6 linked regions of the Coturnix japonica genome follow. The protein of the gene in region 3 interacts with the protein of the main gene of each other region in a pairwise test. Links are inferred from orthologs where the notes say so. Each region holds a gene or a part of one and is shown on either strand. Other genes may lie near its edges. The genes, in order: FAM189A2, ATN1, WWP1, ARRDC1, SMAD3 and CPSF6.

Evidence for each region.
Region 1: the proteins of WWP1 (region 3) and FAM189A2 interact in binary tests that used the Homo sapiens proteins (3 or more experiments, as listed by UniProt). The link is inferred for Coturnix japonica from reciprocal best matches to the Homo sapiens genes WWP1 and ENTREP1.
Region 2: the proteins of WWP1 (region 3) and ATN1 interact in a two-hybrid assay, tested with the Homo sapiens proteins (2 studies listed by BioGRID and IntAct). The link is inferred for Coturnix japonica from reciprocal best matches to the Homo sapiens genes WWP1 and ATN1.
Region 4: the proteins of WWP1 (region 3) and ARRDC1 interact in binary tests that used the Homo sapiens proteins (3 or more experiments, as listed by UniProt). The link is inferred for Coturnix japonica from reciprocal best matches to the Homo sapiens genes WWP1 and ARRDC1.
Region 5: the proteins of WWP1 (region 3) and SMAD3 interact in binary tests that used the Homo sapiens proteins (3 or more experiments, as listed by UniProt). The two-hybrid records come from large-scale screens. The link is inferred for Coturnix japonica from reciprocal best matches to the Homo sapiens genes WWP1 and SMAD3.
Region 6: the proteins of WWP1 (region 3) and CPSF6 interact in binary tests that used the Homo sapiens proteins (3 or more experiments, as listed by UniProt). The link is inferred for Coturnix japonica from reciprocal best matches to the Homo sapiens genes WWP1 and CPSF6.

Annotation. Positions count from the first base shown.
Region 1 is NC_029547.1:31,129,185-31,132,684, reverse strand, and holds part of FAM189A2 (protein FAM189A2), read right to left. Parts: coding exon 3,482-3,500; intron 3,191-3,481; coding exon 3,115-3,190; intron 578-3,114; coding exon 437-577; intron 1-436. UniProt on the Homo sapiens protein: Functions as an activator of the E3 ubiquitin protein ligase ITCH in the ubiquitination of the CXCL12-activated CXCR4 receptor. Thereby, triggers CXCR4 endocytosis and desensitization, negatively regulating the CXCL12/CXCR4 signaling pathway.
Region 2 is NC_029516.1:69,576,381-69,580,589, reverse strand, and holds the start of ATN1 (atrophin-1), read right to left. Parts: upstream 2,801-4,209; 5' UTR 2,507-2,800; intron 2,148-2,506; exon of another isoform or gene 1,889-2,147; intron 1-1,888. UniProt on the Homo sapiens protein: Transcriptional corepressor. Recruits NR2E1 to repress transcription. Promotes vascular smooth cell (VSMC) migration and orientation. Corepressor of MTG8 transcriptional repression.
Region 3 is NC_029517.1:111,470,460-111,473,959, reverse strand, and holds part of WWP1 (NEDD4-like E3 ubiquitin-protein ligase WWP1), read right to left. Parts: intron 1,312-3,500; coding exon 966-1,311; intron 1-965. UniProt on the Homo sapiens protein: E3 ubiquitin-protein ligase which accepts ubiquitin from an E2 ubiquitin-conjugating enzyme in the form of a thioester and then directly transfers the ubiquitin to targeted substrates.
Region 4 is NC_029532.1:1,142,539-1,146,803, reverse strand, and holds the start of ARRDC1 (arrestin domain-containing protein 1), read right to left. Parts: upstream 2,801-4,265; 5' UTR 2,698-2,800; coding exon 2,580-2,697; intron 762-2,579; exon of another isoform or gene 747-761; coding exon of another isoform or gene 716-746; intron 1-715. UniProt on the Homo sapiens protein: Functions as an adapter recruiting ubiquitin-protein ligases to their specific substrates. Through an ubiquitination-dependent mechanism plays for instance a role in the incorporation of SLC11A2 into extracellular vesicles.
Region 5 is NC_029525.1:17,079,068-17,082,567, reverse strand, and holds part of SMAD3 (mothers against decapentaplegic homolog 3), read right to left. Parts: intron 1,334-3,500; coding exon 1,140-1,333; intron 659-1,139; coding exon 524-658; intron 1-523. UniProt on the Homo sapiens protein: Receptor-regulated SMAD (R-SMAD) that is an intracellular signal transducer and transcriptional modulator activated by TGF-beta (transforming growth factor) and activin type 1 receptor kinases.
Region 6 is NC_029516.1:32,103,073-32,107,024, reverse strand, and holds the start of CPSF6 (cleavage and polyadenylation specificity factor subunit 6), read right to left. Parts: upstream 2,801-3,952; 5' UTR 2,712-2,800; coding exon 2,652-2,711; intron 1-2,651. UniProt on the Homo sapiens protein: Component of the cleavage factor Im (CFIm) complex that functions as an activator of the pre-mRNA 3'-end cleavage and polyadenylation processing required for the maturation of pre-mRNA into functional mRNAs.

The sequences.
Region 1 (3,500 bases), on a different chromosome or scaffold from region 3:
GGTGCGGTGGTGAAAGCTGATAGGAGGAAAAGAGAAAACAGATGATGCAGTGGAGACGTGAACACGTTCTGCAAAATACTAAGAGTAATCCAGTGTTCAAAACAAATGACCATTACAAACACTCCCCCATTTCTGTTTTGTGTGCACCAATGCACATCAGCAGCTACTATGGGGATTCCAACATGCTGCAGTAAAAACTATAAGACTTTGGACAGCTGCAGACTTTGTTCCTAAAACTGAAAGACTACAGAGAAAGCAAAACTGCGGTGCTGACAGCAGTGTGTATGACAAAGCACAGCCTGCATGCTGTAACATAGGCACAGTTAGGAGACAGGAGCTGGTGTTTGTAGGCTGCTGGTTCAGGGTGCTAACCCTCTCTGACAAATGTTTTCCTAGGGGTTCATTACCTAAACAAGGACAGAGAAAGTCAAGTCACCTTGTGACAGCTGGCAGTGTAGCACAGGGTCACTTCTGGACCGTTTCTGTAAGGGACTGAAGGTTCTGTGAACTTCTGCGGGCGCGGCGCTGGCAGAGGGCAAAAGGCTTGTTCTGCTGGAAGAGTTGGAAATTTCTTCACCTGAGTAAGCAGGAATAGAAAAGGTGAAGGAAAGTAGTTAGAACAAAGCAGATCTGAGAGCATAATCATTTAAGATGATTGTTTTTTTGTTTGTTTTTTTTTTTTTGCTCCCCAAATAGCTGTAATGATTACAAGTGCTTCTATGTGAGCATCTGCCTGCACACACAACAAACACTCATCTGAGGTCTGCTTGAACTTTTACAGAAACCTATTCACCTTATCCAGCTGGAGTAACAGCAAATACATCTTTGCTTCACGGGAATCTCTACCTGATTGGAGAGAAGGGCGTCCTCCTAGAGCTAAAGCCAAACCTTGCAGTGCCTACTATTCTCCTGCATATGAGCAGAAGTACCAAAACAAAACAGCATCCAGCCACAGAGGTCAGACACTGCTTGCAGTTATGTAGCTCATGAATCAATCATCAAGAATCAAAGACCTTGTTTCATTCCAGTGAATGAAGCACTTGGTAAAATTAGGTCTTGGATGATCTCTGCTTGTTGAGAACAGCAACTTCTATACCAATGCATCTAGAATCTTCCAGAAAGAAGGAAGGGTAAGAGCTGGGAAAGCCATGAAGCAGGACCTAGCAACAAACCATGGCAGACTGAGTGCCAAGGTGGACTGAAGAATCCACTGCCAAAGCAGACTCTCTAGTGGAGCTGTTCTAGCAGTCACTTCTTTAGACACGGTGATATTGGTGTTCTGGTGAGGGTGTTTTTTAATACTATTCAAAAGAACAAACTGATTTCAAGACTTTAATGAAAATCCACATTAACTTTACAGGTGTTAAAAAGGGGAAGTGGTTCAAAGCTGAGTGTGCCTTGAAAATACCCAGTTTGCAATGACCAAGGGCAGCTGCTGAGCACCCCCAGGCCTCAGGAGGTAACCCTCCTATTACAATTGGCTGAGAAACTCCTGTTTGGCTCAACAGGGTCCCTCCTGCAGCTGGGATGCACCTTAGCTAGCAGGCAGCCTTCACTTCCAGTGAGAGATACACCTTGCCCACCCACTCCAGTGGGGGCATCCAAGAGAAAAGCCTGGTGCAGCAAACTGCCAGCATAAGCCATAACTTCACTTTTATTTATAGACTGTTACTTGACATCAGCTGAGACAGCGGGTGGCGTTCCTCCTCCAGCCTGGCTGCAGCACTGCTCCCTGCTCTGCCCCTCCCTGCCCCATGGCAGCAGCACTGCTCTGGCCCCGGGCCCAGGGCACAGCATCCTGCAGGCTGCTAAGAAAATGAACCAGTACAGACCTGGTACACACCCATTGATAGTAATACAGGAGGAGATACTGCTCAGTGTATCAATTCACTGTCCCTGCAAAGCTGAGGAATGTAGAAGAAACAGTGCTTACTATCTCTACCAAGGTGCTTGCTTTCTTCTGCTTGAATTCAGCCAGGCTGAGAGTTAAAAGTCACTTTATAGGCCACTAAGAGAAGAGGAGGGACAAATAAACTAAAAGGATGAGGAGAGTACAATGTGCTCAAGTCTGCTTGATTGTGAAGGAAGATTTTAAATACAAGCAACACCTCCAACAATGCCTCACCATGGCTTCTTTTTCTTTCTTTCTTTCTTTTTTTTTTTTTTAACTTTTCTGACCATCCTTTGCAATAAGTTGCCTCTTCTATAGTTCTTCTATTTTCTACTCTCACAATTTAAAGCAGGAACCGTGCAGCCTCACGTTTGCTATCCTATATCATTTTCTGTACCCTGTAGTTTCTAAGCACCCAGAGGAAGCAAGTGTTGCGTTACCTACAAGAAGGCCTTCACAGAACAATAAATAGAAAACCTATGCTGAGAACAGCTTGGAGCAATTTCCATAGTTTGCTGAAACAATGCTGAAAAATGCAGCATCCACTTGTAGTGTAGCCATGGTGGTACAGCAGGAGAGGCTGAACCTTCCACCAATATCCCATCACATGTTGATGTTGCGTGACAGATGGCAGCAGAGGGGCACTCTGACAGAATGGCATCTGACATGGAAGTGCAGATGGAGTGAAGGTGTGGCACTGATCTCCTCCATGTGGAAAAAATGGCACTCATCAGCACTGGCTGATGCTTGCTGAACATTTTGAGAGCCCAGCCAGTGGATGTGAGCACAGGGAGGCAGAGGGTGGTGTATTTCAGCAGCAGTGACAGCAACAGCAGATCACCTCTACTGGTGCAGAACTTTACAAGCACAGCATGCAGGCTCTTGCTAAGTGTTGGTGAAAATGCACAGCTAATGGTGGCGACCACATTGAAAAATGGTATTTTGTAGCTGAGAATTTGCACTATCAAACAGCACTCATGTGCTCTTTCTAGCTATTACAGTTTCCATGGGAATTAACAGGAGGCATTACTTTTGGAGCAACTTACATGTTCTTTCTTTTTGTTGTTTGCTGTTCACGTACTTTTTTTTTTGCAACTCGAGCATTAACCCCTGTTCCTGCTGCCCAACCATAGTTCTGTATCTCTGGCTTTCAAAGCCAGACACTGCATGAAATCCTTGTGACTGGGCAGAACTGTCCTACAGTAACTTTAAGATGCTCCTACCTGGAGAGGCCAGCCTGCCTCTGCTTTCTGCTGAATCAGCAACAATTTCCTCACCCACTTCTTGCAGTCTGCTTTCCTGGAATAAAACAGAAAAGCTGAAGAACACAAATGGGCGCCAGCACTTTTCAAGAACTGAAGCACTCACCCTGGAGAATGAACTGTGCAGTGAATGTAACTGCACGATGACTATGTTATATGGGCTTTGCTCCACTATAAAACTATCTAATCTGTATAATCAATTTTTATCATCCAGTTCTGCCAATTTCAGTGAATATGGTACAGACTTCCAAGGTGAGCTGCTAATCTTACTCTTACAGACAGACAGACAGACAGACAGATGACATTTGGAGACCCCTACAAACCACACCTGCTCAGAGCCAGTCTGG
Region 2 (4,209 bases), on a different chromosome or scaffold from region 3:
TACAACCATCAACTCCACCTTCACACAATAGAACAATGCCGATGAACATGAGGAAGACACAGCAGGGAGGTTGGAGCTAGATGAACTTTAAGGTCCCTTCCAACTCAAGCCAATCTATGACCAAGGAGCAATAAGGAAAGCATTTATGGAGTTACAGAGGTTGAATCTGGGGATGAACATAACCTTCTTTATCCGTTCCAGCTGCACATAAAGTCCTCCCATCTTGAAGACAAATACCTGTCAGGTTGCTCTTGGTATAACGATCTTGCTAGGGTACAGTCATCGATCCTTGCATGTGTGGTATTATTTTGGAATACAATTATGCCCACAAAAAAAATTTGACTGTGAATCCTTCTGCAGACAAATCCAAAGGTGAGAATGTAGGAACCTTTTGGAGGTACCCAAGGGGTACAAAGTATGGGGGAGGAGGCAAATTCATATGAAAAGATGGAAAGGCGGGCCATCACAGCAGGTTAAACCTGTTGATCTTCTTTATTAGGACTCAGTGCACGTTTAATTTTCACATGTTTAGAGGAGTTCTATCATTTCCAGCAAGAGGCACAGCACTGCAAATTCACTCCTCAAAGCCACGCTTGAAAAGCTCCATTGTGAATCACAACCAGAACAGTACGGTTTGAAAGGCCGGTCTATTCCCCCCCAAAGATGGGGGAAATGCACAAATGACTGGTTATGGAGACACCAATAACAAAACTAGAGATAAATAGGCCAAATCAATTTGACCATTCACATTCACAAGTGTCCTTTGCAGGGACAATGATTTTGGAGTTTCAGCCCTTCCACTCCCTCAAGGATGCAGGTACGGCACAGCAGTGATGCACAACACCCTTGGCTTAAAGGAAAGGAGACTCGCTTTCAACTCAAACAATGGTGGGACTTGAGTTGATGAAACTGAGGCAAACCCAGAAGGGCTGTGCTGTGACATGAGCACATTGATTCCTGAGAGAAAACACGGCTGATCTCTGAACCTTTAGGCATAAGCACAACTGAAGGTTCAATAACTGCGTTCCACCATTCAGGTGGCGCAAGATGAATGACATATTCAACTGCTCTGCTGCTACACACCTTGAGGCAGTGGCCTGCTACTTTCCCCTCACTTTTTCAGTGCTAGGAAGCAAAGAGGTTCCCATGCCATCTATATCCAGTACAAGAGCCCAAGAGAGATATATTCACAACGGATTTGAATGGCTAGCTCCAAGATAGACGCTATTGATGAAGAATCACGGCAATGCAAAACAGACCGTGCAGACAAAAGACACAAATTCTCACAAGCAGCTGCGCTGGCAACTAAGTAACTCGCTGCAGAAGTCAAGCAGCCACGGCACTGAGGCAAACGCAATTAAAGACACTGCCCCTTCCAGAAGCAACCTCAGAACCTCGTCGCAGCTGGCAGGAGGCGATCGACAGATCTCAAGTGCAAGCAAAGCAGCGTGCAAAAAGCGATGCCACAATGACCAAATGGCTGCCACTCCAAAGCACAGCCGGCTACTCGCTGGTCAACAGCCACCAAAGCGTCGCAACCTGCCATCTGCGGGCCAGCAGGGCAAAGCAGCCACCGACTCGATGGCACAGCCAGAGGAGCGGCACAGGGAATACGGCTGCCACCTTTCGCAGGGAGCTGAAGAGCCGACGAGCACCCAGGACGGAGTGCGAGCACCACCGCCCCCCGGGTGGAGCCGTGCGTGCTCCCCGCTCCCCCGGCAGCTGTTTCTGTCCGTGAGCGGGGCAGCGGGTCCGCCCGAGCTGCGGTTGGCAGCGGCGGGGCGAACCCCAGCAGCGCACGGATGTGCAGCACAGGGGGAGCGCACGCACTCGGCCGTACGCCGGTCCCCCCGCTCGGAGCCCGTTCCTGCCCGCTCCCGAGCCGCACCTGGAAAGCGGGGACAATGAGGGGCTCTGCAGGAGGAGGGACGGATTCTCGTGGAGGTTTTTCGGGCGGCAGGAGCCCGGCCGGCAGCGGGCGGCCCGATTCCGTTCCAGCATTGTTTTATTTCGATTCCCGCACGGCTCCGGGCTGAGCGCTCACAGCTCCGGCCCCTCCGCCGCCCCGGGGGCAGCCCCTGCCCCGGCCCCCGCCGAACTTCGCCGTGCCGGGAGGGGGCTCGGCGGGCGCTGACGTCACGCCGGGAAGCGGCGGGGCCGGGGGAAGAAGGGAGGGGGGGGGTCCCCGCCCCAGGACCCCACGGCGGGCCCGCTCCGGGGGCCGGATGGGGCTGGGCGGGCGGCCCCCCTCGGTCATTGACGATCGTTCCCGGCTCCCTCTCGCGGGGAGCGGTTCGCTCCGGAGCCGACGCGACCCGGTCCCGGTCCCGGCCCCGCCCGCCGCGTCCGCGCTAGGGAAGGCACCGCCGGGGGCCCTTCCCCACCGCCACGGGGGTTACCGCGTCCCGCCCGCGCCCCCCGCCCCGATCCGACAGACGGACGGAGAGAGGGGATCCCCGCGAGTGGGCGAAAATGACAGGCGGCCGTGAGCGGGAGGGGGACTCACCGGCGGCTCCGGAGGGGAGGTCGAATGAAGGGAGGAATGGAGGAGGAGAGGAGCGGGGGAAGGGATTTAAACGCTGCCCCCCTCCCCCCCCCCTTTTTCTTTTTCTCCTTTCCTCTCCTTTTCTCCCTCCTTCCTCCTGCTCCTCGTTCCCCCGCTCTCTCTTGTGCCTCCGGGATCGCGGCGGCGCGGGGGCAGCGGCTCCGAGGGGGGGCGGCGCCCCCCGTCCCCGCCGCGCCCCCCGCTCTCAAGCTCCGCCGCCCGTGCCCCGCTCGCCGCCCGCCTCCCTTAGCCACCTCCCATTTCCGAACAGCCCAGAACGAGCCCCCCCCTTCTCTCTTCTCTCTCGCCCCGTCACCCCCGAACCGCGCTCTCCAGCCCGCCCGTCCCCGCCTCCCCGCCGCCGCCAGCGCGGCTCGGCCCCGCTCCGGGAGACGAAATGGCCGCGGGCTCCCCGCGGCGGGGGGCGGGCGGGCCCGGGGCGGGGCGGCAGCGCTCAGCGCTCAGCGTGCGGTGCGGGCCGGCGGGCTCCCATCCCCCGCGCCGTTACCAGGCAACGGCACAAAGGGAGAGAGCCTCGTGCGGCGGAACCAGAGGCACCGGCGGCCCCGAGACCGAGGAGGCCGCCTCGGGACGGGCCTCCGCGGCCCCACTACGCAGCGAGCCGCCTCCACAGTGCCCTGCGCGGCCCTGGAGAGCTGCAGCGGGCCGCTCTTACCCACGTTTGCTTGTTCTTGCCCTCAGTGAAGCGAGGGAGCCATCTCTGTAAGGTCAGGCCTCGCCTGGGCTATCGGTGGTGTTGGTTGCCACCAGAAATGCTGTTTAAGATGCAAAGGAGACGCCGTGCCGTTACAAAGGGCTCCAATTCAGGCAGAATGTTAAAAATGTGAACAATTCTCCCCCCCGCCCGCCTGTGGGCTCCGCTGTGCTTCAGCAAAACGGGCTGGATGCTGCCGTGTCGGCAAAGTTGAGGCTCGCTGAGGGCCTGCATGGCCGTCTTGAGAAAGTTGAAGCAAAGGACGGCTGCTGGAACGGGAGCTGGGGAGCCAAATGGTTCCGTTACCCGGTACAGCACGGCAGGGCCACCATCTGCTCTGGGCAGGCTCATCTGAAGCCAGGAGTGAACGAGTGCTGCTCTCAGCTTTAGACTTTGGAAGGAAGCAGAAGCAAACACTGTGCTGCCATGTGAGCCTGCGTGCTGCAAGGACACGGACTTGGTATGCACAGGGGCGAGTCCTGCTGGGGCATTTGGGTAGTCTTCACATATACAGTCACAAAACCTTCCCTACAGGACCTCCCGTCCATCAGCGAGCAGGCTGGATGTCGCTCTCAGTGGGTGTTTGTTCAGAGCTCCTTATTGTCCGTTACATGGCTCAGGGCATTATTCGCTGTACGGCATCCAAACCTGGCACTGAATGCAGATGTAAGAATGTCCCTGTGGGTTTTTCTGTAGTGCTAATCACCGCTGCGCCCGAGCATTTTATAAACAGCCCTAACAATGTCCCAGCAACATTCTTGCAAGCTTTTGTTCCACACCCTCTTCCCAGCAGTACCATGTCGCTGCCGGGCCCACGCTGGACTTGGTGTCTGTGGTTCCCAAGCCAGCTCTGCTGCCAGGCAGCGTGCCATTGCACAGCACAGTGCAAACAGCCGTCATTCATTTCTCCGTCTATGCTTCTCCTCATCCTATCTCTTTGCCTTGACCC
Region 3 (3,500 bases):
TATAAAGAATTTTGTGAAAATAATTGAAAATTAAGAACCTTGAGACATTTCCTCAATAAAGTATCTACAATACTTCTGTCTTTTGAGATTCCTGTTTTCATGTTTATCTACAGCAAATCAAGAGAAGAGTCACTAATTACTTACTGAACCTGTTTCAGAGAGAGCAGATACATGACAGAATGACAGATCTCAGAAATATCAGCTATGATGGCACAGTGTATATATACTTCCAGCAAGTAACTACTTCTGTGTTAAAAAAGATGCTAAAATAGTTAATATTTAGATTATTACAAAAATGTCAGCATCTTCAACTAGTTACTGAAGACATCTTTTCACCCAAACATGAGATATCTGGTTTTTGGTTTTTTTTTTTTAATTTATTTATATTGAGATCAGTATATCTATTTGAGCACATATTATGCTTTTATTTTAGTTTAAGCTCATCTTTGATTTTACATTTAAGGTTTAGGACTACAGCAGTAGTTTCAGTTTGGGAGAACTAGAAGTTTCTAGCTATTCTGAGCACATACTCACATTGTATTTTTCACATTATTGGTTACAATCCTACACTGCAAGAACCCAAATTTCTAGACTATTTTATTCATTTTGTTTCTTCATATTTTAGTCCCTACTACATACCCACAGTATAAGAACCATGGCAGCAATTAATTATGACCCAAGTAAGTTTAAATATATCAAATGAATCTTCTTCATATCCACAATGTCCAAGAATTCCTCTGTTTAGATCACATTACTGTCTCAACAAATAAATGATCAGCTGCTAGTTTCTGGGACATAAGCTACCAGCCAGTTATAGAATAGTACAAATCTCATTTTAGATCATATAACCCCATCTCTGCCAACTGATCTGTATTTAGCAACCCCTGTAGGGAATTAAACTGTGATTTCTTCACATACACATTATGACAAAACACAATAATAGTGTTAAAATCAAGCCCACATACCCTGGTGGTAAAGGTTCTGTACCAGCATTAACAGTCTGCTGTCTTAAAGTCTCTCCTGATGCACCTGAGGCTGAGGAGGATTCCCTTGGTTTTGCTGCATCTGCTGCTGTACTGTTTGTGGTATTAGGCTGTGCACAGTCTGTAGTAGCTGAAGCTTCTAGTCCAGCAGACACAACGGATAGCGTAGAAGTGTGGCTTTCAGAGCAACTAGCTGCTTCTTCTGTTGATTGAGGTTCTGCTGTAGTGTTAGTGCAATCTGTAGACATAGGAGCTTCTGAACCTACCATAGCTTCAGAGACAGAAGAATTACCAGCTTCTGGTGCAGAGGAAGATGTCTCACCATTAACTGAGAAATGGGAAATAAGAATATTTGCATATCAGATTCCAAAGAATTAAACTTTTTGGTCAGATTTTGAAGTATACTATATTAAACATATTCCTCGCTTTGATTCAATTTACACCTATGTGCCATAAGTAACATTTTTGCTGAAGATTACAAAAAGTGCACCAGCTTCGGTTAAAGCTGTAATTAAATCTTACAGTCTGCAAGCCGTTCTCTATACTTCCCTGCAAAGATTATTTCTTAGTTTCTGCATACCTTCCTCAATACAACATTATACATTATTCCTGAGATTAGCAAAAAGTAAACATCCACTACCAGAGAAACAGTACTGCCTTACTTGAGAAGCTGTACCAACTTCAGAAAAATATCTTGATTAGCATGACAAGAAAGAAAAGCATTGGGAGCCAAGTAACTACATGTAACGCAGAAATAAAAAGACATACAAATAAAAAGTTCTTACAGATCTAATATCTTCTTGTGTATCTTATTTAAAAAATAAATAAATAAATAGATCACCCCAGCATCCTTAGGAAAATCAATATGTCCTAAAAAATTACATTTTGCTAACTGTCGTGAGCTAACTATGACAGACAGCCAAGTACCACACAACCACTCACTCACTTCCACCCACAGCATGACTGGGGAAGAGAAGATGAAAAGTAAAAGCAAGAAAACTTGTGAGCCGAGATAATATATATATATATATATATTTAGTAAGAAAAGAATTAGGAGATGACAAAAACAATGAAACAAAATAAGTGATGTAAAGGCAATCATTCACCACCTCCCATGGATAGAATGACAGTAATCCAGTTCCCATGCAGAAAGATGACTAACGACCCCAAAATTTCTCCTCTCCCTTTTTATTGCTGAGCATGACATTGTATGACAAAGAACATCTCTTTGGTTGGTTCAGGTCATCTGCCTGGATGTTTCCACTCCCAACCTCCTGAGCACTCCCAATCTGTTCATCAGCTGAGAAGAGGCTGAATGAGAAACAGATAAGGACTTCATGTTGTGAAGAAACTCTTCAGCAGCGTTTAAAGCATAACCGTGCTATCAGCATGGTTTTGCTCATAAATCTAAAACACAGCATCATACAACTGCCATGAAGAAAATGAACGCCATCCCAGCAGATCCAGAATACCAACGCGATTGATATAAACTAAAAAAATTACAAAAATGACAATAGAATCAAAGTAAATTAATTTCTGCCTTTTTAAGAACAACCCAAATGTCATCCAAGTCAAGCAAGCATAATCTCATAGAAGGTTTAAAGCATACAGATTTGGGAGGAAAAACAGGCTAAGGCTTAGTATTCTCAAGCCCTCTTGTCTGGCAATGCATCAATACCAGTCATAATCATGGAACTGCTTGAGTTGGAAAGGACCCTTAAGGGTCACCCAGTCCAACTCCCCTGCAATAAACAGGGACACCTACAGCTAGATGGTGTCCAGAACTCCATCAGGCCTGACCTTTAATGTCTCCAGGGATGGGGCACATCTTTGGTGAATTGTTCCCATGACTCACCACCCTTACTGCAAAAAACATTTTCCTTATATCCAGTCTACATCTCCCCCTCTTTCAGTTTGAAACCATTCTCCATTGTTCTGCCACAACACACCCTGCTATAGAATCTGTCTTCTCCATCTGCAGATCTTAGCAGAACAGTATCTTGGCACAAGATTTTGTCTCAAACTAGTGAAATCAGAAATCAGGTACAGTAGTCAATATGACCCCATTAAAAGTCAAGGACATTGTGTGAAGTAGTGTAATATCATTCACAGCTTTAATTTTCTGAATCCCTAATCAACACCAATCGGTGACAATTCTACTTAACCTTGCCAGTTTGTACCTGTAGAGCTGTAAATCTTTTTGTTCAAGACAAAATACTATATGCCACACACACTTCAAGTGGTTTTCTAACTGACAGCACATTATAAGCTTCCAATTCTAAGAACTGAAGCCAAAATACTAAGATATCTCTACAGTTTTAATCCCATTGATAGAAATGTGCAAAATTTAACACTAGCCTAGTGCCTATAAAATGGTGTTTCATCATTTTAAAGAGTTCATTTTTCTTAATCCTGTACAGTACTATTATAAATAAAAACTTAAGACTACTTACTACTTGCAATAGCTGTGTAATGTCAACAATTCCTGGCTTTCTTAGAAAGCAAAAACAGATATTG
Region 4 (4,265 bases), on a different chromosome or scaffold from region 3:
TGCCCATCTGATGGACACTGCTACGCAGAACAGCCCAATCCACAGCCCTTCTGCAGGAACATCTTCCTGTGTCAGAGTCCAACAACACAGGGACTCAGAAGTGACCTTCTAGTTTGGTGATACAGCTCAGGATCTGCCTTCAGCCCCCTTCTCCACTGCCAGATTTCCCAGCTTTCCAGCTGAGAAGTCAAACCATGTACCTCATTTCAGGCTCTGCAGAAAGGAGAGTTATGTACCTGGGTACTTCTAGAGCACGAACTGACAGCAGTATATTTTGCCTGCAGATTTGTAGTTCAAAGGACTGATTTGAAAGTCAAGTCATCATCGCATAAACCTGGACAGCCAAATAACAGAGCAGAGAACACGGCACTGAAATCTGCTCCAGAAAGGGCTTTCAGTTTCTTTTCTCTCCGTGACCTGGGAGAGACAGCTGTTATTTACCGTTACACTTCTGCCCACAAGAAGCATCGCTGAGCAATAGGCATCAGGGCTGAAATAACCCACATGGCTCTGGATGCAGTAGAACAGTGAGGAAAGTGCTCCAGCAGCCCTGAGCAGCATCAGGGTTGTTCCAGCCAACAAACAGGGCTGCCCATGCTCTGAGAGCAACTTCTTTCCCTCCCACCTGCCCCAAATTAACTCCACACCCAGCTGTCCCAGTGCCAGCTTCCTGTTAGATTCATTATTCTTTGTACACAGGTATTTGATGGTTTACCCAGCAAGTGAGGCACAGCAATTAGGGACATGGACTCCCATTAGCGATATCCCTCGAGGCCCAGAAGTTCTCAGAGGAAGACCTCCATCCTGGCACGGCCATGGGGTGAGTGTGCCCCACTGACGTGGCCCCAGAGGGTCCACATGGGTCACGAAAGGTGAGTCACCATTTGTGACGTTGCTACATGGCCAGCAAGGCCAATTTGTTACTGAACAGCCATTACTGCTGTCAGAGGGCTGGCAAGGAACCAGCGTAGGTGGGAGCATTTATGATCCTAGAAGGTGTGTCTCCATTAAGCTTCCCTATGACCCAAGACTTCCAGCATGTTTGACGAGGCAGAGCGAGCTTTGTTCGCTTGCACTGACCATCCTTTGATAGGGGCAATTTCCAAGAGCCATAAAACAAGGTACCGTGTGAAGTAATCGTCTACAGGCCTGTTTGTGTTTGCTACGTCAGAGCAGTCCAGGAAATAGAAAGCACCATACCTGGGTGCTGTGAGCATGACCCTGCAAAGGGGAAGCACCGCACGCCTTCCCCAGAGAGCTGCTTGTCAGTCCCGGTCACAGGAGCTGTGGGTGAACACAGCACAGAACACAAGCTGGGGAAGCCACCTCCCCTCAGACCCCAACAGAACCACAGGATCATAGAAAAAGGGTTGAAAGGGACCACAATGATCATCCAGATCCAACCCCCTGCTGTGTGCAGGTCACCAACCAGCAGCCCAGGCTGCCCAGAGCCACATCCAGCCTGGCCTTGAATGCCTGCAGGGATGGGGCATCCACAGCCTCCTTGGGCAACCTGTTCCAGTGTGTCACCACCCTCTGGGTGAAAAACTCCCTCCTGATATCCAACCTAAACCCTCCCCTGTCTCAATTTAAAACCATTCCCCCTTGTCCTGTGACTATCAGCCCCACATGCCCAGAAGGCACAGTGTGCCAGAGGCTGACTGACCCCATCACCATCATGTCCAGCTGCCTGCTGCTGTACCCACAGGAGGATGCTCCAACCACCACTCCTCCCATTCTCCTGAAGGTGAGACCAGCCCAGCAGGGAGGGCGCACAGCAAGGAGCCCAGGCACCATGTCTCCACGTGCACTGCTTATCTGGGCCAGTACAGGCACCAGCCGTGGCAAACTGCCACCCCAGCGGTGAAGCCAACACACAGCGAGTGACCTCAGCCCAAAACGGACACTAGAGAAGCTTCTAACAGGGGGAGGCACACCTCGACTCTTGCCTCAATGCATGTGCCGTCTCTCAGAGCCCAGCTCAGGCTCTGCTCGCTACCAAAGCACAGCTGAGCCCACCCAGCAGGGCTGGAGGTCAGCGTGCCCGGCTGCCAATGCCGGCGGTGCAAGGAGCCGCTGGGAGCAGCCGGCGAGGAGACCCACGCGCTTTGCTCGGGAGGGAGTTAAACACCAGACAAGCCTCCACTTGTCCGAGATGCTTCTTTTCCTCCCGAGGAAGCTCCCAAAATCCGCCGTGAGCACTTGGGAGAGGTGCTAAAGAACAGGGGAACCGCGGCGGGGCAGCACGGCCACCTCCCAGCGACGGGAGGCTGCGTTTTAAGCTCTTTGGTTATCATTACCCCCACAGTAACATGTCTCAGGGGCAGAAACGAACAGGAAAACAAAATAACCAGTTCATATTTCCCCCATTACAACACGTGTAACCGCTGCAGACTTCTCCGCAACAAGGTGGCCAACAGCCCACCCCAGGGGCAGGTCCAGACCCCCCTCTATAATGCAACAGGGTGCGGGATGCTCCGGACCAGCTCGGCCCAAAGGCTGCCAGCCCCGAGCCCCGACCACGCAGCGCCGCCGCCCGGGGAGCCCCGTCCCCATCCCCGGGCAGGCCCCGAGCTCACCTCGGTACTGCAGCGAGCCCGACAGCCGCACGGTGACGGTGCCGGCCAGCGGCTCTCCGGGGCTGTAAATGACGCGGCTCTCTCCCAGGCGGATCTCAAACAGCTGCACCTTCCCCATGGCCGCTCCAGCCCCGCTCCGCTCCGCTGCTACCTGCCCTGCCGCTCCGCTCCGTGCTGCTCCGCCGCCCTGCCCCGTCGGGCCGCCCCGCCTCCGCCCGCCCCGGTCCGTGCCGTAGGGTCGGGGCGGGCCCTGAGGGAAGGGGCGGGCGGAGAGGAACGGAGAGGAGGGGGAATGTGGGCGGGGGATGCGGCGGTGGGACACAGGTTGGATGGAGGGATGCGGTTGTGGGGTCGGGATGCGGTTATGGGGTTGGGATGTGAGGGAATTACACGGTTATGGGAGCACAGTGTGAAGGAAAGACGCGATTATGAGGCCAAGCTGGTAGGGAAAGACACGACTATGGGTCCAGATAGAGCTGCAGGGGGGGAACCTAAGACACAGCTATGGGATTGGGCTGTGGGGAAAGGAGCCACTTATGGGGCCAGGCAGCATTGCAGACCCAGTTACGGGTTCAGGCTATGAGGATAAAACCCAACTATAGGTTCAGGATGTGAAGAAAGGACCCAACTGCGGGGTCAGGCTGTGAGGGATGGAGCCAGGTGCCCAGCCCAGGCCCAGCTCCATCTCGCCTCTAATCTGATCTCCCTGTAATTCTCCCTGCCCAGCTGTCTCTCTTCTCCCCCCCTCCTTATTTATTATATCCCCAGTTAGTTCAAGTGTCCAGTGGGAAGCACACAGGCACACAGCATGGGACCAGGGCTGGGAGACAAGCCCAGGGAGCTGCGGGTCAAGCAGCAGACCAGCACCCCACATTGCCCTCTGTATGTCCCCCTTGGTGCTACTTCTGCTGCATGATCCCGTTTCAAAAACTCTGTTAAAATAAAATATAATAATAACAATAAAATAATAAATCACCTTTTCTTTATTCCACAGCAAACACCAAACACGGTGCTGGGGAAAGGCACCTCCCAGAGAGGCCTCCCGGCTGATGACAAGCAGGTTGTGTACACGGGCGGAATGAATAAGCGTAACAAGGGCTGTTTAGCTGTTTATCCGCAGAGCACACACCCAGCAGGACGGCCGGCCCTGCAGTGACACCAGCCCGAGCTGCAGGAGCCTCCCAGGTCCCCTTATGGGGGGTAAAGCCCCACCGAAGGGGTTTGAGCGCTGCATGGGAATGGTTTGTGTATTCTCAGCACACAGGGCTCCTGCTGAGAAGCTCTTCCAGGCCGTTACTCCTCTGCTGCTTAAAAGCTACTTTTTCTTTCCAGCCTGTGCATCATCACAGGAGACGAACACCCTGATGGGCTCGTGCCAACAATTTATGTAGCTCATCTCCTCCTGCGGCGCTCACCCTCAGATGCTTCCATACACCGCTCTCCTTGCGCTGCCCTTTTAGCTTTTGTTTTGCCACTTTTCTCTCCTGTCCTTCTGTAAGATGAACCCGCATCCTCTGTCATCAGCCCCCGCAGCTCAGCTCCCTCCCAGTCTCTCCAGGTGACATTGCCAGCATAGAAACAACCAACCAACACAAGCAGGTGAGGGGCAGCAGAATCACCCTGTGCTACATCAGGCTTTGCTGAACCCATTGCCTCCTCATGGAATACATCTGAAGACCCAGAGCT
Region 5 (3,500 bases), on a different chromosome or scaffold from region 3:
ACAGCAGAGCATACGAGTCAATAACAGAGGAGGGAAACAACAAAATCAGGATTTTTGGTTCCATAAAACTTTAAGCCATGTAGACAGTTTTCTGTCCAGAGATTGCTCCTTTCCTGCTGTGCAGCTGCACCGTTTGCCCATACAAATAAGGTGTAAATTGCTTGTGAAAAAAGATGCATAAATAGAAAGGCTCAATTCCATCAGAAATCTACACTTTTACTCAAATTAAACTGGCTGAACGTCAGTCAAATCTATGGGAACATTCAGCTTTAGATTCCACAATAAACTGAGTATGCCCTACTGAAGGGAAGAAGTGAGTTTGAAGAAAACAAAACTTGAAACAGCAATGCCATCATTCTACATTTACAGCTATCATCTGCTTCTCTACACTTTCCTGTTCATTTGCTTCATGGCAACAATAGAAATAAAGACTTGCCACTCATTCAGCTCAACACACGCAGACACGACTGACTGTGCAGTGTGACCCTTCTCCCTCCACTTGCTAGATGGAGAGATGCTGTACCTGGGATGTAGTTGCTCTGCGGCTCAATGCCTGCTGGGAAGTTAGTGTTCTCTGGAATAGAGTGACTGTAATCGTCCAGTGGTGGGAACTCAGCTGGGATCTCCGTGTGCCGAGGCACCAGAACTGGGGGTAACACTGCACAAATGGAAAACAGAGAGAACAGGATTAGCAGCTTTAAAATAAAATGACTGAAACCCCAGAAAATGAAATGTAACCAGTCTGGAGTACCACCCTCGCATACACACAACACCAAAGTCATTAATTAAGGGACACAATTTGATAGTTGATAGTAGATACCAACAAGAGCAGCAGTGAGGGATGCGCAGAACACTGCCACAGTCCTCACTTGTAACTACTGTGTGTGTGAGTTGGTTCTGGGCACACAGGGACACATTAGGAAGCTGGCAAGAAGGCAGCCTGCTCAACTTGTTTTTCATCGATTTTAAATGATATTTTCCCCCTGAGCACAGATTCATAAATTATTCTGCTGCGCTCAGTAAGAGACTATCATCAATAATACATACGCTTTGGTTTGAAAACCCTACGCCTGCTGCTTTCTTCAATTCTGAAATGCATGTATACGTCCCTCAGAAGGGACACGCGGGGTCAGCAGTACCTGGGGTCTCCACTCGTTGGTAATGATAGGGATTCACGCAGACTTCGTCCTTCTTCATGTTGAAGGCGTACTCGCACATCTCCATGGCCCGCAGCTCATGGTGGCTATGAAGGTCCGGCCACCGCCACAGCCGGCAGTAGATCACATGGGGGAGGCCCTTGCGGTGGGACACCTGCAGCCGGCCATCCAGCGACCTGCAGGGAGAGAGGGGAGAGTTACATGGGCTGGCACTGAAACACATCACCGACCTCATCCCACCAAGGAAGCAATGTGAAGCTGCAGGCTCAGCACACGGCTGGCCCACCAGGCTCCGCATTGTGGACAATCCCCAGAGCCACCCAAACCCACTGAGATGCTGCTGCAGGATCCGAGCTGTCACACAAAGCACATCTCTGAAAAATGCAAAAATGTCTATTTTATGTAACAGTCTCACTTCAGAATCATTAATTTACTGAGAAGAGCTCAAATTGAAGGCTCGAAGAAAGGTACCCCAGGTTAGAGATACTCTTTTAACATACACACAGACATGCACTCCCATTTCTACTCCTTGAAATCCAGCCCCTTCGCTTTCCATTATGACTGACATTAAACACTTCTGGGTTTTGGTGAAACACACTATTTCTTCTTCTTCTTCTTCTTCTTTTTAACTTTTGGTCAAGGAAAAAGGAAATTTGAATTTCATTTGGAATTATTTCCCTTGGTTCTTTGTGTTGGCAGCCAATCCAGAGAAACCAACCCAACCCAACCCACACAAACAACTATTCAAGCAGTGGTTGTGCTGGTCTTGGCTGCCCTGGGAGACTCTTCCCAAAACCAGAGCTTGGTAACACGCACATCTCTTGTAAACACTGCTGCAACAGCAAGGAAGGAGAAACAGAAACAGCGTGGATCCCAGCTGCACCTGACGCGGGGAGCAGGGAAACACGGTTGTGCATGGGAAGTATACAGAACAACTACGCCATCACTGAGGGAATTGCTGGTACAGAGCATGAAACACTAAAATCCACAATTACATCTCAGCTCCAAAATACTCTCAATATCTACCTCTAAGCGCACTATCAGCTCTGTTTCCCAGGTGTGCTCTCATGACAAGCTCCTTCTGAGCTCAGCCAAGAAGAAAGAAGCATTTCAGGCACACAACTCACAAGGAACTAGTGGGGAAGGCAGCCTGAACAGCTACAAGCAGTTACCTAACTAAGCCAAAACCAGCCTGAAAGCACAGCACAGCTCCCAAGTGTTGCTATCACAGCTTTCCGTAAGGAAAAAAAGAGATGCACTTTATGATCTTATCTAAAAAGACCATTGAAATGACAGAGCCATATGCTTTGTTTTCAATCACAATAACCTCCCCGTCTCCCCTCTCCCCTCAATAAGGAGATACAGTAAAAGAAATGACATTCCCCCAAAGCCCCGGAGGCCAATTACATTTTTATGATTGTGAAATTCCTCCTTGGGCTCTCTGCAGCCCCACTTCTTTTGGGACATTGTCTCTTCCTTCCAGTCAGCTGCAGCTGAACACATCAAGTGTCCCCATGCTGCACTATGGGATTAAGTAGCTAAGGCTGAGAAGAGCTCTTAATTTCAGCGCTCACATTCAGACCTGAGTGGGTGACGCAGCCTCTCACCACGTTCCCAACCAGCACATATCCTGAGCCTGCAGGACAGAACAAGAAAACAGTGCAATCCACAGCCTGGAGTCAGCACTGCCCGCCAGTGATGGAGCATGTCGGCTATGAGATCCTGCAAGGAAATGCAGAAACAAAGCCAGAACGTAGCCAGGCTGTCGAGCTGATACCAGCTCACAATGACTTATAACAGAACTAAATTCAGGAACTAATCACACAAAGCCTTGATGTGAGCAGGGGTCCCTCCAGCACCAGGGGTGTCAGCCGGGTCTGTGCACCCACAGCCACGCTCAGGTGTGCTTGGTGAGAAGCTGGTCTAACACAGAGGGCTGTAGCATGGAGTGTTCAAACCCAACCAAGGAGCAGCCAGTGGGGAGGTTACCCCAGCACTACATGCAACAGTGATAAATACCCAGTGAGGAAAGTGCCAAGACTCCAGGAGTGCAATCAGGGAATTTCATTGCTTGCACAACAGCCTGTGGCACAGTCAGAACAGCACTGCAGTACCATGAGAAGCCAACAGAAACCCCTTGAGCCCAACACTTTAGGACTGATCCATCCCTATATGCTGCCACAAGCCACTTGCTAGGGAACTCAAACACCCCCAGCTGCTGCTCCAAAGCACCCAGACTACTGCAGCTCAGAGAACAACAGCCTGCAATGGCTCCTAATAGCAAAACCAGAGGAGGGAAGGAAAAGAATGACAAAAACACCAAAGCTTTTCCTTTTATCAATC
Region 6 (3,952 bases), on a different chromosome or scaffold from region 3:
AGTGATGCGAGCAAAAATACTGCGGTTATGGGACTGTTGGTTCAGAACATGACACTGCGTAAATACAAAACACTGCTGGATGGGGAAGTCAGCTGAGAAGACAAATTATCAAGAAAAGAAGGGGAGGGGGAAATGAAATGGGAATTAAAACCAATTTAAATACAAGTGAGGGGAGACAAACTGAGTAAAGCATTAGACACAAGGACAAAGGACACAGTTATGATGAACAGTAGGTTAATGAAAGAGGCAACACAGGCACATACGGTTTTGATGAGCGCCAGATGGGAAGGGAAAGTTGTGCTTTCACTGCAAAGATGTGACTTCAAGTCCAGCCAGCCAGTTCTTTGCAACCTGCAGCTGGCTGCAAGACAGGTCTCAGTTTTCATTCAGTTCAGCCAGCCTGAAAACCTGGGGGCTGGAGTTTTTACTTCAGCCTTGTAACCTGGACTTCATCTAGTGCTAATCAGGTGGAACATCCTCCCACCTCATAGAAGCAGGCAGAAAACAAATCCCCAAATGGCCTCAAGTTGCACCAGGGCAAGTTTAGGTTGGATGTTATGAAGCACTTCTTTACAGAGAGGGTAGTTAAGCACTGGAATAGGCTCCCCAGGGAGGTGGTTGAATCGCCATCCCTGGATGTGTTTAAGAGCCGTTTGGATGTGGTGCTCAGGGATATGATTTAGCAGAGGGTTGTTAGAGTTAGGGTACTGGTTAGGCTGCGGTTGGACTTGATGATCTTTAAGGTCTTTTCCAACCTGGGTAATTCTATGATTCTAAAGAGCTCCAATAGTGAGCACATTGAGGCTCAGAGCAGGACAGAGCAACGAAGGGCTCACTCAACCACGAATCCTAAGAGATTTATTTCCTACAAACACAAAAGTGCTGTCCCAGCTTTACTAATAAATACAGTTATACCGTATTTGGAAGAATGAAAAAAGCTGCACAGCATGTTTCCAGTCCCTGCTACCAACAAAACTAATGGAAGGGGCTCCTGCAGTCCAACTAACACTAGCAAGCGGACACAGCACCACACAACTCAAGAGCAGTATGTTGTTTTACATATAAAACAAATTTTCGTTAGAAATACAGCATTGCATAAAACACCTGTTACATAAATTACCATCAAATTGCCATCATTTTCCCCCTACAGCATTAGAGAATTGTAATCTTCACCCCTCCGCAGCCATGCTGAACTGTAAGTCCTCTCCTATTAATTCAAGCTGTCAGCTTCAAATCAGAAACCCTGAATAGAGGTTTCAAGAGGACTCATCACAATGGCATCAGAATTAGAGGTAGCAGCGCTGTAGGTGGTAACAATTGGCTTTTGTTCCTGCTCTGCAGAAGGAAATGGAAAGTGCAGAGGTGCCAATCTTTGCCAGTCCAACTTTCTATTTTAATGAAATACAGTTCAGCTGAGTAGGTTCTGAGACAACATGAAAGCCCCAGAACTCAGGCTTAGAAAAGAAGAAACAGAAATGTCTTGCAAAAATTAAAGCAAGTAAAAAATCTGTCTTCACTGAGGTTACAGCCACAAACTGCACCACTTCGAGGCCTGCCCCCTATACGAATTTACACAAGTACTACTGGATTCAAACTATCTTTTCTGAAGAACTTGGTTTGTTATCACTTTTTTACGTGGAACTGACTAACACAAAACCAAAGCTGCTACAGAAGCTGCTGAGATAGAATCAGAGAACAGCTTGGGCTGGCAGAGGCCTCAAAGATTATATTTTATGCTGAATGGTATTTGTGCTGTACATCACCCCCACGTAAATTCATCTAATGGGTCTTCAGCTGTCAGGGAGAAACCTGCACATGTCTCTGTCATCTGCTCACGAGGGATGGCGTAGCTATATGCTATACCTTCAGGAGATTATCGATCTAAATTAATTTACCGACAAATACTGAAAGAAATAAAGTTGCTGGTAACATGAGCTGCGTATCCCAACCCTGCCGCCTGCTCCCACTCCACACAGGCAGCACTATGGGACCTGTTTTAGGGCAGTGCAGCCAGAGAAGTGCGGCACCCGCACATGGAACAGATGTTCCACAAACCCGACGACAACATCGCCTTTCGGTGGGAAGGGAGGAAGGCGGCTTTGGGGAAAGGCGAGTGAAAAAGAAACCAGAGAAATCAGACGGCAGTGCAGGAAGTTGTGCGCGTTACACCGCCACTTCCTCACACAAATAAATCCCCTCGGCTCACCAAGAGCCCGAGCATTGCGGGCACAGCCGGCGGGCGGCATTGCTGCCAGCAGCACGAGGCTGCGCTCCCCCGCTCCTCCCGCGCTGCGAACAATGGCCGGGAAGGGGCCGCTGTCCCGGGCGGGACGGCTGTGGCGGCACAGAGAGCGGGAGGGAAGGCGCCCGCCCGCGGCCTGTCTGCCTCCCTGCCTCCTTCCCTCCTTCCCTCCCGCCCCCGAGCGCCGCCGCTCCCCGCCCGGCCCAGCCCCGATCCCCCGCGGGCCGGGCCTGAGGCGCGGCCTCGCTCCGTCCCGTTCCGTCCCGCCCTGCGGCGGGGCGCCCGAACAATGGCGGCGCGGCGCGGCCCGGCCCCGCGCACAGGGCCCTGCAGGCGGCGCGGCGGCGAAGGCGGGTGAAGAAGGAAAGGAAAGCGAGGGGAGGAGGAGCCGGGCCGCTCCGACCCGTACCTGGTTGAACTCCTCGCCCACATCGGCGTAGATATCGATGTGGTCCACGCCGTCCGCCATGATCCCGCCCGGCCGCGCCTCGGGCCGACCGCCAGCCGCGCCCGGCTCCGCCGCCGCTGCCGGGAGGGGGAAGGTGCACGCGGCGTCACTTCCGAGCCAGGAGGGGGAACTTCCGGCGGCTGCCGCTTCTTGGGGGGCCGCCCCGCCCTGCCCGCCCCTTCAGAGTGCAGGGAAAGCGGCCCGAGCCCGCCTCGGAACACGGCGAAGTACGGGGCCGCTCCTCAGAGCCCCGCCGTTCCCCCTCAGCGCCCCTGCCAGGTCGCGGCGCGAGGTGCGAGGATCGCCCTCGATCCCGGAACACAGTGTGTTCTCCATTGTGTGTGGTGTTTCTCATCCGAAAATAAAGTTGCCTTTTGACAACGAGAAGTTTGTGTTTCTCTAGACCGGGTTGAAAGAGTGTTAAAGACCACAGGTGGATTGAAAATGCTCTTTTCCGTGAGTGGGAGTGCTCCTGGATCAGCATCTGTGGCCCTGAGCATCCCTGCTTCGTGTTGTGCTTTGGTGCTCTTGCGTTATAGTTCTCTTTGAAAGGAAAGGTTGGTCTTTTCCTGACAGAAAAGAGGTGAAAAATCAGAGAGCCACAGCAATGGGTATGCTGTGGATCACGCAGGCTTAAAGTATGGGCTGCTGTCTTATGCATATCTCTGTCAGGGCCCCTTTTTCCTCCTGCTTTTGAAAGGAAGAAAGCTCCAGCTGTATTATCAGATGGAAGCTAGTGTGAAAGAAGAGCTGAGGGAACACACCTGCTCATCTGTGTGCTCTCTTGTTCAGAGATGGGTCTGGAAGGCTTGCAGTCATTTGGTCACTTGCTGTCCCCAACAAACTTCATTAGGACTCGTCTCCCAGACCAGGCTGTGCTACCAAGGTCTCTCTCATGACCACGTTTCTGCTTCAGCCCTCACACTGGCTCAGCCTGCTGAGTCCTGCTGTACTTTGGGCATGGAGATGCTCAGGTTGTCCCTGGAGTTCTCATCCAGTTTGTGGCACACACACACATTATACATACATACAACAGCCTCTTGTGCTGTTATATGTGTTAACAAACAAAAAAACCTACAGCTGGGATTGTTCTCAGCTGTGAGAGCTTTCCTAACCAACAAACCAAGCACTCCTTGGAAAGCCCCTTGGAGAGGTTCAGAATATCACCTGAAGAAACATTTACTAGAGTGTATCCAGGCACTGTGTGTGGAGATTTAAAAAGGACCACGTCTGGCTTGATGATGTTCTTGTTACTTGTAACA